3 linked regions of the Macaca fascicularis genome follow. The protein of the gene in region 3 interacts with the protein of the main gene of each other region in a biochemical or structural test. Links are inferred from orthologs where the notes say so. Each region holds a gene or a part of one and is shown on either strand. Other genes may lie near its edges.

The links. The genes of interacting proteins can lie anywhere in the genome.
Region 1: the proteins of LYN (region 3) and KIT form a complex in vitro, tested with the Homo sapiens proteins (2 studies listed by BioGRID and IntAct, with this or other methods). The link is inferred for Macaca fascicularis from reciprocal best matches to the Homo sapiens genes LYN and KIT.
Region 2: the proteins of LYN (region 3) and FASLG form a complex in vitro, tested with the Homo sapiens proteins (2 studies listed by BioGRID, with this or other methods). The link is inferred for Macaca fascicularis from reciprocal best matches to the Homo sapiens genes LYN and FASLG.

Annotation. Positions count from the first base shown.
Region 1 is NC_088379.1:79,244,423-79,248,541, forward strand, and holds the start of KIT (mast/stem cell growth factor receptor Kit), read right to left. Parts: upstream 2,804-4,119; 5' UTR 2,746-2,803; coding exon 2,679-2,745; intron 1-2,678. UniProt on the Homo sapiens protein: Tyrosine-protein kinase that acts as a cell-surface receptor for the cytokine KITLG/SCF and plays an essential role in the regulation of cell survival and proliferation, hematopoiesis, stem cell maintenance, gametogenesis, mast cell development, migration and function, and in melanogenesis.
Region 2 is NC_088375.1:30,264,221-30,268,315, reverse strand, and holds the start of FASLG (tumor necrosis factor ligand superfamily member 6), read right to left. Parts: upstream 2,804-4,095; 5' UTR 2,584-2,803; coding exon 2,239-2,583; intron 1,688-2,238; coding exon 1,642-1,687; intron 1-1,641. UniProt on the Homo sapiens protein: Cytokine that binds to TNFRSF6/FAS, a receptor that transduces the apoptotic signal into cells. Involved in cytotoxic T-cell-mediated apoptosis, natural killer cell-mediated apoptosis and in T-cell development.
Region 3 is NC_088382.1:65,848,373-65,852,454, reverse strand, and holds the start of LYN (tyrosine-protein kinase Lyn), read right to left. Parts: upstream 2,809-4,082; 5' UTR 2,806-2,808; coding exon 2,479-2,805; intron 1-2,478. UniProt on the Homo sapiens protein: Non-receptor tyrosine-protein kinase that transmits signals from cell surface receptors and plays an important role in the regulation of innate and adaptive immune responses, hematopoiesis, responses to growth factors and cytokines, integrin signaling, but also responses to DNA damage and genotoxic agents.

The DNA of each region.
Region 1 (4,119 bases), on a different chromosome or scaffold from region 3:
GTAAAATGTTAGGGGTAATAATAATACTACTTCCTAGGCTCATTGAGACTAGCGGAAATAGCAGGTAAAGCCCCAAGCAACAGGCCTGGCACACAGTTTCCAACTGAAGAGCAACAACTATGTATAACACACATGTCATACAAAATTTAAGGCCCATTAGAAAGCATGTTATAAATGCACAGCATACATGATTTAGAGAGTCATGAGGAAAAAATATGGGGATGAGTGGGGGAAAAAACAGAATAGGGATAAATGAATTATCTGGGATATTTATTTGGGATATTTCCAGCAGGAAAATAATTTAGACTGCCTTGCGTCCAGCTGCTGAGAATGACTCCAGCCTCACACCTGCAGGAATGAAGCGGGGAAGGTATGATTCACCATTCCTTGCAGCTTCATCCTGTTAGGCACAGGAGCTGTAATAATGGGGTGGTGGTGGGGGAGAAGAATGACGGTTAGGACAAAGTGGGCACCTCCTAGCCCTCAAAGGGCAATACAGAGAAATATATGGGAATTGAGGGGTGGGAAGCATAAGCCACAGCTCCTTGCTGCAGCCAGGGGCAGACGGTCAGATGCACCCATACTCCATGAGGTCCCCGTGAGCAGGAGAGGCAGAGGAATTTCAAGGTGGCAGACAGGGACCAGGGGAATAGTTGAAAAGAGTGCTGAGTCTACACTCAGCACATTGGAAAATTCTGGACCCAAAGGATCCTTCATGATGCAGATGCCTCCTTGTACTCTGGAGGACACTGGGTTCCCCAGAATTTAAGCAACCTGCCTTAAGCAACCTGCCCAAGGGCACGCAGCCAAGAAATGGCAGAGAAAAGGAGAACCCAGGGGACAGATCAAGGCTTTGTCGTTACACCACACTGCCCCCCCAGGAGACAGACTTAAAATTCCCTTTGCCAAAAATCTTTTGGGAAGAAGAAAACCATTGATTCTTTTAATTTTGTAAAAGGGAGATATTCGATGTGGTCTTTCTAGTCTCCTACTGGGGTCTAGTTCACATACCTTAACTGATATTAAAAAGGTCAAGGCACAAAAACATAAAGACCAGATGTGTTGTTTTAAGCTAGGTGATCAAATCCTCCAGGGAATCTGAACACTCCCTCGTGACCCCTGCTGACCCCTCCTGCTGCACAGGGGTCCAGATGCAAGGCCTCTCTGCCCCCACAGGAAAGCCCTCACAATAGTTACAAGACCAGGACGCGGGAGACTGCGCCTGGAGACTTTATAGAGAAACTGACCAGTAGTAGACAGTCTCACAACCGTTCATTGCGCCGCTTCCTTTCAAGCGCTTGATTCCAGCTAAGACTCACTTTCTATCCTTACACCATCAAGGTAACCTTAAAGGTTTGTTTTAAAAATGACCTGGGAGAGAGCAGTGCTTCAGGAGTGAGCTGGGCGACCTGCACTCGCGCGCACCAGCGACACCTGGAAAAAAGGGAACGAGAGGCAGAAATCTGACCGAGGGGCTCCAGCAGCCGGCAAATCCTTCACCTAAGACCCAAGTTCCCGCGCGGATATATCTGGTTTTTTGTTATAGCTTTAAGAACTGAGTAGGATTTGCAGAAAGTTCCACTCCATCTCCCACCCCACCCCCAGGCAGCCCTGAAGTATAGATGTCCCCTCCCCGGGGACAGGGAGGCGGGCGGTCACTAATCTCAAAAATTTCCGAAGAAAACAGGACCTGCGAATACAGGTCGCAGATACCGGGACTACGGGCTTCCAGAGCCCGCCAGGCAGGCCGGGCACACTGGCCGGCGTGCTAGGCAGCCGGGATCAGGGCACGCATAGTCCCAGCACGCTGTCCCTTGCCTTCCCGGAGCAGGCGGCAAACGCAGCCTCCAGCCGCCCCGGGGCGCGTGGCAGGAATGAAACGGCGCCGCGGCCGAAAGGGACGAGCACAGGATATACGAAAGCAAAAAGTCTGCAACCTAGCGGCTGCTTTCCACACGCCCTGCCCAAGTTGTCCCCGTACACACCACCTCCAGGCTCGCGGGAGTCCGGCCCCACAGCCACACGCCGCGCACTCCCAGAGCAAAACCCTAACCCGGAGGCGGGGAAATCCGCAGGCTTCGATTCGTCTCCACGGGTGGCGCCGTGAGCAGAGGCGGCAGCGGGTCGGTCCCCAGCTCTGGGCACAAAGAGCGCCTGCGGTTGGAAGGCAGCAGCCGCAGAGGAGAGAAAGGGCTCTCTAACTTTGCCCTCCGCGCGGCGGAGAACCTGCAGGCAGGTCCTCCTGGGCACCGGTCACACACACGCAACTTTTAACAAAAGGAAGCTGCGGCCGCGCCTCGCACAGCGAGAGAAGGCGCTCGGTGGGAACCCCTGAGCCCCTCGCCTCCGCCCCCCGCGCAACCTCGGCACAAAAGCCACCCCAAACTCGCACGCAGCCTGCAACCTCGCTCACGCCTAACCTCCCCTCGCTGTCCCCATTCCCGAGGAACCCCGGCTTCGCGTCCCCACCACTAGCAGCTGGGGTCTCCTCGCGCAGGTGAGCGAGGCAAGGCGCAGGAGAGTCCGAGGGACACCTGGAGTCTCCCCCGGAGACTGGAACGCACAGGCACTGAGGGCCCGCAGTCCTCTCTCCGGATGCACTCCGGCGTGTACCACCCTCCCGGGCACAGGCTTCGCCGAGGAGTCGCACGGTCGGGGTGCCAGCCGCGGTGACCCACCTGTCTGGACGTGGAGCAGGAAGAGCAGAACGCAGAGAAAATCCCAGGCGCCGCGAGCGCCTCTCATCGCGGTGGCTGCGCTGGGATCCGAGCTCTGGTCCACGTTCCAGCTCTCGCCCAAGTGCAGCGAGCGCGGCAAAGCCGAGCCCCCAGAGCCGTGAGCGCCGAGCAGCAGCCCCTCCTCCCAGCGCCCTCCCTCTGCGCGCCGGCCACGCCCCTCCTCGCCTCCCCTCCCTCGCGCCCGCCCGGGTCTCGCTCCTTCCCGGCGGCGTCTGGCCCCTGCTCTTTCGACGTGTTAATGCCGGGGGGCTGTGCCCGCGGGGAGGAGGAGGGCGCGCGCGCGCCCTAGCTCCCAGCTCTTGACCCCGGAGCCCCTTTCTCTCTCCACCTCTCCACCCCTGGGATGTGGTCGGCCCGCCCGAGGCCGTTCCCGGACCAAAGAGGTGCTGCCCGCTCGCTTTGTGAAGCTGGGCACCACGCGCACGTTAGGGCACGGGCCCGCCACCTGCCAGGTGCTCCCCAGACAATAAAGGACGGCTGCCCGTCCCTCGAGCACGTTCGGGCGGGAGGAGGCTGGACGCCGCTGCTGGTGGAGGTGACACGGGGATGGGGAGGGGAGCGTTAGGAAATTGAGCCCCGACATTACCCTCCAGGCCTGTTAGGAGCGCGTGGCACCGCGGTAAAGGCTGAGCCCGGCTTAGCTAATTGTTTCTGCTCAGTTTCTCCACCTGCTTCGTAACCTGTAAGAATACAGTGGGTTCCTATTGGTCGGCGTGGCCTCCGCCCAAGAAGCCCCTGCCGGGACTTGTGTGGAGATTGGGGCGGTGAAGTGGGGAGGGGCGCGTTGCAAAGTTTGCTCTGGGAGCCCAGGTTTTCATACACATTTCCCCCTCTCCCCCCAACGCTGCCAACCCCAGTAATGATTTATCTGCCTCTGTATCAGACGACAGTTTTAGGGCTAGGGATCCCTGTGTCCCTCTTAACTGCCCTTGCCGGTCCCAGGAGCAGAATAAAAGTACAATGATTCTCTTAAGCCAGATTTCACTGCCCGGAAAGTGCTTTATCCACAGTCTCATGGTGGATCCTTGAACGGAAAGCAACACGGTATCTGTATAGGGGTTAATAGTTCTTCCCCACACCGACTCTTCTTTTCATGCTCACCATAACAGCTTTGTGAGGAGGGTAGAGCAGGTATGTTTATTATTGTAGTGAGGGAAGACCCAGGGCTTGAACCCTTATTTGAAGACCTACTCCAAGAAAGATGAGCTTTCCCTATGGATTCTGATAAACTAAAAAGACATCCCTCCTGAGAGCTTAAGAATGGAAAATAAGTGGCAGATGCCCATGAGAAAAAGGGATAGAACAGATACACCTAGACTCTTCTCTGAAGTATCATCCAAAATTTATAGTTGCCCAGCTGCCCCACTCCATTTAATGTTGA
Region 2 (4,095 bases), on a different chromosome or scaffold from region 3:
GTCAGTCTGGGTTTTTGTTAACTTTACTAATTTGATGAAAATTGGTGTTCCCTATTTTTAGTTTGCATCTCTTTTCTTATTAGTAAAGTTACTGATTTGATTTCCTTGTGATAATTTAACAATTTCTGGTTCATCTGGGTTGATCTAGAGAAGATAATTGCTTACTGGGGTAGATGGACATGACTCGTCTGGTCATTTGATTTTTAATCACTAAATTGACTCCAGAGAGGAGGTAAAAGATGAATGCTTAGGTACCTATCAGACCAGGCACATTCCACAGGTTTTCAAAATGATCTTATTTGAGACATCCTCCAGAGGCTTTATTTTTCTAGCAAATATTTCCACTCTGCTTGTGTACATATGGACTTTCTAACATTTAAGGATTAGGACACAGACTCAGGGGCCAGAGCTTCCCAACAGTGGCTCCTATAAGAACTTAACAGTCTAGGACAGTAGACAGGCGACTGGGTTGCCTGCAGTAGCCACATCCAGAGAAACTGAAACTTACTTCACTTAATAGATGGCCAGTGCTGCCTTCTTCTTTATTCTGAGTTTCTAAGGATGCGATCTATCTATAGTCTTTGCAGAGGTATCCTGCTTTTCCTCTATTTCTCACTCCATGCTCACTACAGAGAGACAGGAGTTTCCCTACTTCATGAGGCACCAGTCCAGTACCGGAAAGCCCTGTAGGTGACAAGGCATCAAGAGCCTGTGTTCCTTCTAGCCCCAGTTCCATACTAGGGGTCTTGGGCATATTCACCTAATCTGTCTGGCATTTTGTTTCTCTTCCAAAAAAATGAAATGGCTGGACTAGATATTCTAAGCTTCCTTCCAACTCTAAACCTTCAGTGAATCTCATTGTAAATCTAAATCTAAAATTTCAATGAATCTTAGGCTAGTGAAGCACATTGTAAAATCCATCTGTACAGAGCTTGCAAAACTATGCCCTGAAATTTCACGAGATCAGTGTTCCAACATATCGTCTTCTTGCCCTAGCTCCCATACAAAGGATTTTCCTTTGTGATCAAGGGTACCTCATGACTGCCTCTGAAGCTGAACATCCTTTGAATGATGGCTGAAGTCTTCCCTTCAGCTTCTCAGTGACTTCAAGAAAAACCATTCTAATGTACGGAATTGATTAGCCACATTTTAAAAGCTTACATCCTATAAAACATTTTATAAATAAAGTTTCACTGTGATCTCTTTAGAGGCTTTAAAAGAGGAGAGGACGTTTCTCAGAAACATCTGTCTCTGCCTTCACTTCGCCTTCTCTTCCCAGAAGTCATAGCCACTGGCATGTGTGCCAGGACCAGGGTGTCTGTGGAAGGGGACAGGCCTGGAACCACTGCTCAGGGGGCAAAAGTCCACGGTTGTATATGTGTGTCTCTTTCCAAAGTCAAGCGGAAGTGATTTTGAATTGTGTGCCGTGCTCAGCTATATTGATTGTGAGCAATTCAATTCACTTCACATTTTTAAAGCAGCTCAAGGAATCATACTGACCAGAGATTCCGAATTAGCCAGGATTCCTCTCATAGTATACATAAGCCAAAGTGTAGGACAGAATATAAGGCATTCCATTAACATATTTCAGTGCTGAGGATCACCTTTAGGAACTCAATGTACATGTGAAAAAGGACTCACCTATTTGCTTCTCCAAAGATGATGCTGTATGCTTCTGGCTGGTAGACTAGTAAAAGAGAAAGAAAAAAGATGCATAATAAAAATAAAATTATTTAAGCAAAAGAGACAGAATCGTCAAATAAACCAAGCCCTGGAAAGAGAATCCAAATACCTCAGAACTTTTGCTGACTCAGGCTTTGGTCAAGCAATTTTGCTTCACTGTCCCTCAGTTTTGTGATTTGAAATCGTACCAGTATTTTAAGTATTTTCAAGATTTAGTTTGGTCATCTGAACAAATTTACTTCCAAGCAAAACTTAAAAGTTTTGTTTGTTTTTTACTCCTTAAATCACTAGGTATGAGGCAGTAAGTGGTTCAACAGACTGAGTTGACAACTGAGGAAAGAAAAACTGTTGGGCTCTGATTCTTTACAAAATAAAAAATATTCCCTTCACTCCTATGAGCCTCCATTTCTCTGCCTATAGAATAGAATAACTAGAACAACCCATTTCTAAGAAAAAAAAAAAAGGATTGAAAAGCACTTTGCAAGCCAGGCAGTGGGCCCTCCACCCCCTTATGCCTGGTGCCTCCAGGGCACAGCAGTCTGCCAGCAGGCTTACCTCTCGGAGTTCTGCCAGCTCTTTCTGTAAGTGGAAGAGCTGAAACATCCCCAGTCCCAATCCTACCAAGGCAACCAGAACCATGAAAAACATCACAAGGAGACAAAGGCCTGTGCTGTGGTTTCCCCTCTTCTTCAAGGGTGGCAGCGGTAGTGGAGGCAGTGGTGATGGCGGTGGAGGTGGTAGTGGCGGCGGTGGCGGCGGTGGTGGTGGCCTCCTTTGACCAGGCCTTCTGGGCACAGAGGTTGGACAGGGAAGAACTGTGCCTGGAGGGGCCCAGGGAGAGCTGGCACTGCTGTCCACCCAGTAGATCTGGGGATATGGGTAATTGAAGGGCTGCTGCATGGCAGCCGGTGAGTCAGGCCAGCCCCAGCAAACGGTTTTACTTCTCAATCCTGTAGAGGCTGAGGTGTCAAGGACAGGACTCCTGTTGCTGACTGCTCAAGAGGAGGCAAGCTGGATCTCTCTTATAGAGTTTCCATAGCTAAGGGAAACACCTCTGTCTTTCTCTTTCTCTATGTCTCTCTCTGATTCTGCTTCTCAAAGAAACACCCACTCACTTTGCAGCTGAAGCTGAGAAGCCTCAAGAAGCTCAGAGCAAACCCCTGGAAGTTTCCGCCCACAATCTTCTGACGAAAGCCTTGGAAGCCTCAGTTGCTATCGCTGTACTACCCAAACAGGTTGGTAGGCTATGCTCACCTTCCTGGGATCCTGTAGAGCAGGTCAGCATTGGGGTAGAGCCCTGTTGGCGTGAACTGCTCCCAGCTACAGGAGAATGGCCAGTGGGGCTATAATTTTATGAATTATAATTGTATCCTTTTTTATACATTATAATTGTATAATGTTAAGAATTCTACCATGTATACGACCAAAAAACTATTTAAAAATACCAAAATACCTCTAACAAAAATTGTTCAGAACCATATTTTTTAAACTATAAAAATTTTACTGAAATTGGCTCTGAGGGGAGAGACCATGGAGCCATGGCCAGAGAAGTCACTCCCACATTTTAGTTTTTGCAGGAGGAAAACACCTGTTGCCATCATCGCTTCCCCACACACAACTACCATTTACCCTGACCTGCCAATCACCATAATTTACAGGTTAAAAAACCTGCTACACCCTCTTTAGAAATTAGATCAGAGGCTGCAAACAGTGGAACCCACAGAACTGCTTTGTATTTCACAATGTTTTCATTTTCATTGTTTGCCCAGCTTATTTATTTACGTATTTATTTAAATAGAGACAGAGTCTCACTCTGTCACCCAAGCTGGAGTGGAGTGGTGCTATCATAGTTAACTGCAGCCTCAAACTCCTGGGCTCAAGCAATCCTCTTGCCTTGGCCTCCTAAGTAGCTGGGATTATAGGCATGAGTCACTACACCTGACTAATTTATTTATTTATTTATTTTTGTAGAGATGGGGACTCGCTATGTTGCCCAGGCTTGTCTCAAACTCCTAGCTTCAAGACATCCTCCCACCTCAGTTTCCCAAAGTGCTGGAATTACAGTCATGAGCCACTGCACTCAGCCCAATTGACCACTTTTAATATCAATATTAAAAATATTTTAATATATATACATTTTAAATACACATTAAAATACATATTTTTGTTCTGTTTTGCAATATCAGAATATCAGACACCCTCGAGGCCATCTCTGCAAACCCAATCAGTGGGAAGTAGGTAGCAGCTGCTCCTGAGAATGAGCGACAGGTGTTCTGGGTCACCCAGCCTCCGCCAGCGGCCTGTGTCTCACACATCACCTCACCATCTGAAAGGCCTGCCTGGTCCTTGCCGATATTTCTGTGTCCTGTCCCTGTTATGGTTGCCAGATTAAATACATGGTGCCCAGTTAAA
Region 3 (4,082 bases):
GCATCACTGAGATCATCAGTAGGAGTGAGCTTATAACGACGTTCCCTGCTGTGGGCATGTATACATTGTATCCTTATTTATAAAGTTAGTATGGGTTTGTACATGAATAATATGATTTAATTTTGTTAAGTTACAACTCCACATAGTCATGTGAACCAACTGGAATCTCAGCTGTTTTTGGTGATTTATTTCTAAAAACAAATACTACAGATAGAAGTAAAAGGCTTTCAAAGTCATTGAACAGTGCTGGACCACTTTTCTGCTAAAAGAAAGCTATTGGAGGGGTGGGGCCGGGGCGGGATTACAAAGTTTCCACCTACCTTGGTAACACCAATGACTCTAAAATAATGTGGGCCTTCTGGATTGGGCCAACTACCTTTGCAGGAAACATCTTAACCACCCCACATCAAGACTTCTCTTCCAGTGATAAGTAGAGAAGAGCGGTGCTGAGTGGAGACTCATTTAGAACACTAAATGTGGATAACTCAGTGCTGGGTAACTTTACAATCAACAAAGCCTCTCAAATCCCCGTTTTAGAAACCACAACAGAAAGGGCCAGTAGGCTTCAAACACTTTAGGGACCAGCTCTATTTCTTCATCTCCCTATGTCCTCAGTTTTACATAGGGCAAGCTCACAGGAGCCCTTCATTCCTTCTTCCAACTAATCTCGAACTGAGCACCTACTATGTACCAGGCACTGGGGCTATCATTTTGGACAAGACAGATGAAGCGGTTTTCATGGAGCTTCCACTGTAATAGTGAATACAGACTATCAACCTGCAGACAAATCAATATAACTCTGACTGCTGCTATAAAGGAAATGTTGGCTAAATAAATGACCCAAGTGGTTTATCCCAAATCACAGCATATTAAATGATGGAAGAGGCCAAAACCCAAGTTTCCTCGCTCCTATTTTCTCTCCCCTTACATCTGCTGCCCTCTATCCTTCACTCAGCAAAAGGGCCACACATTTACATCCAAAGAGACCCAGTCACCAAAGACTCTATGATCTAATGAAATTTCTTCAGGCCTGAAAGCACTTACCTGCTTACCTCCAAATGAGAATGGAGGGACTAACTGGATCCCACCCTTTCCCAACAAAGCTTACTCTTACAGAGAAGGGCTTAGTAAGGTCTAGGCTCTTGCAGTGCCTATTCCCCAGGGCATGGCTTTAGGTGTTGGCTGTAGAGAGAAAACATCCCTGTAGCCCACCAGTTTATTGGCTAGTTCTTTAGGGCAAGTCAGACTACTGGGCCCTGCTTTGGGACAGCAAATCCCTCATGTATTTATTAAGCAGATTTACTAATAAGGTCAGATGGCTAAATCAGACATGGTAGTCTTAGGTTCAATATCACCAGGCTGCAAAGAACCAAGAAGCCTCGTTTATATGAATAGAAGTCACTGCAATAAATAACAGTAACATCGTTTATGAAATGTTTGGTATGTACTAGGGGCTCTGTGTGTACTAAACAGTCCCTGAGGTATATATGCTTTCTCAAAGATGAAGAAACCCAAACAGGGAATTTCAATAATCGGTCCCCTAAATATACAGCCAGAAAAGTGCAAGGCCTGGATTCTGAGCCGGCGAAGAAGGGCGAATTTGGGATAATTAACACACACGGTTATACAAAGAAATGAAGATACAACCACTAGTTCACACGACAGGCAGGCTGTTGGAAAGTTACGAATGCACCGCAAGCAAAAGATGCCACCATGGGCCCAGAGAAAGCAGGAAAGTGGGAAGTGACTCTTACGCCCTTCCCCCAAGGCGAAGGAAAGGCAACCCCTGAATTCTTAAAATAACTCTCGCTTCCTCTCAGCCGGCAAAAGCACCGGACTGCTCCTCCGCAGGCCGAAAGGCGCCGCAGCGGGAGGGTGAGCTCCAGCCTCCGCCGCAGACCCTCGACGTCACGCTCCTGCCCCGGGCCACCAGGGAGGGCAGCTGTCCGCGGGCCTCGAGAGGGCGCCGGCGGAGCCCCATCTCCCACTTCCAGGGGACCCAGGGTCCAGAGGGGAGACCAGATCGCACAATCCGAGGAGTTGTCTCCAGTATCCCTGCCGCGCGCCCGCTCCGCAAGGGCACGGGCTTCGCCGCCGTGCGCGCTGAGCGGCCGGAGCGGGGACAGCAGCCGGCCCTCGGGCCCTCGCCGGGAAGGACCCGCGGTGAGCCCGCCCCCGCGCCCGCACCTCCCACCGCTCCCCTGCGCGGCTCAGCCGCTGACACCTGCGGAGCCTCGGTCCCCGCACCCTGGCTCCCCCGGGGCCGGTCGCCCGCCGGCTGAAGACATCTGAGAGCCTTCGCCGCCGAGGCCCGGAGGCTGTGCGGCCAGGAAGCCGCCGCGGGCCGCGCCGATGCCCCTGGCCCCGAGTCGACCCTGCGCCCGGGACTCTGGCTAGTGGCACAGCCGCGGTCCCTGCACCCCCGGCCCGCGTGCCCGCGCGCCCGCGCCCACACTTGGGTTCGCGCAGAGGACTCACCCGCTCGCGGTGAAAGTTTCGGGGTGGCGGAGCTCCACGGTGACTTGAGTTCAGAGCAGGGGGCGCGACGGGGCGGCCCAGCAGGACCTGCGTAGGGGGAGGCTGCTGGCCGGGAACGCGGGACGCGCGGCGAGGGGCTGCTGGCGCGGGGCCGGGGTTGGCGCGGCCGCCCCGCTTGCCGCGGGCTGGAGGCTGCAGCGCGTCGGGCCCGGAGGCGCCACGGCCGGGGAGCGAGCGGCAGCGCGGCCCGGCGCGGCGGGAGAGGAACTGGCTGTCTCTGGGCTCGGTCGAGAGGTCCCAGCTACTTCCTGGTGCTCGGATTTGCATATTGAGCCCGGAGGGCGGGGAAGTGACCGTTTGGTCCCTGCCCAAGGTTTGGGTGTTTGGTGTGGCCGTCGCGCAGGGCTTTGAAGGCACAGAAACCTGGCGACTCAGTCGGCAGCTCCGGGGAGTGGAACAGCCTGGGCCAGCCTTCTACTGTAGGGACGGACGGAACGATCTCCGGAGGAGCCTGGGCTTCGCAGGCACATCGACGATACCTCTCGCGTCTCCTTTCCTTTCCTTCCGACCCATCCCCAAGGTGTCAGGAAGGGGGTGCTCCCGGGAGCGGAGGAGGTGCGCTCTGATGCCTTCCAACATTTGGGGTTCTCTAGAGAAAGGACGCGCGCGATATGCCGAGGTGATGCTCGGGGTCTCGTTGAGTTCTTAGTAATCATTACGAAGTAAGTTCCTTAAGGGTGTACAGGAGGCTGTTCAGGGCATTGATGTGGAAGGGGATGACATGGAGTCAACGGGCCCGGCAGATTCTCCGTTTCTCAAAGCCTCAGTTTCCTCCCAGGACAATGGATGTAAGGATGCCTATCTCGTGTACCTTTCTGTACAGGGCACGCACTGGCCGCATGCAGGAATGCTGGCGTTATTTCATTCCTGCTACAGCTGCATCCCAGCATGTAGGGCAGTGCTTGCACGTAGCAGGTGCCTGACCAGTGTTCGCTGAAAGAATGTGTGACCGCGTGCTTAAGCTCATGTTCAACTCAATAAATGCCACTTACAAATCCAAGATGTAAGATTAGGCTCGGTCAGTGGATACCCACTTCTACGCCAGATTATGTTCACTGGGATCCCAGCATTGCAGTACCTTGAAAAATTTACAAGGAAACAAATTGGACACTGTGGGAGACTTGGTCTTTGCATTAATAGCAAACATTTACAGAGGGCCTGATGGGCCAGACACTGCCCAAAGCACTTCCTTTCTCTCATTAACAATGTTCTGAAGAGGCTGGCCCCAGCTACAGAGCAATAAGTCAAAGCAGCTGCCTTGTGACACAGTCTGATACAGCAGTCATTTGTTACTAGGAAAGGAGTACTAAAGTTTGCATACTAATTCCTTAAAAGAAAAAAAGAAAGGTGGTTTATACCTGTGATGTTCACTGGTAGGTAGTCGTTAGTTTACTGCTGAAGAGAAGGGGTGGGTTACCCATGGGAAGGTGTGTGATTGAAACCTGTCAAGAATCCTATGGAGAAAAATGGAAAAATGAAAAAAAAAAAAAAAAAAAAAAAAAGAAAAAGAAAAAAAAAAGAATCCTATGGAATAATTCACTACC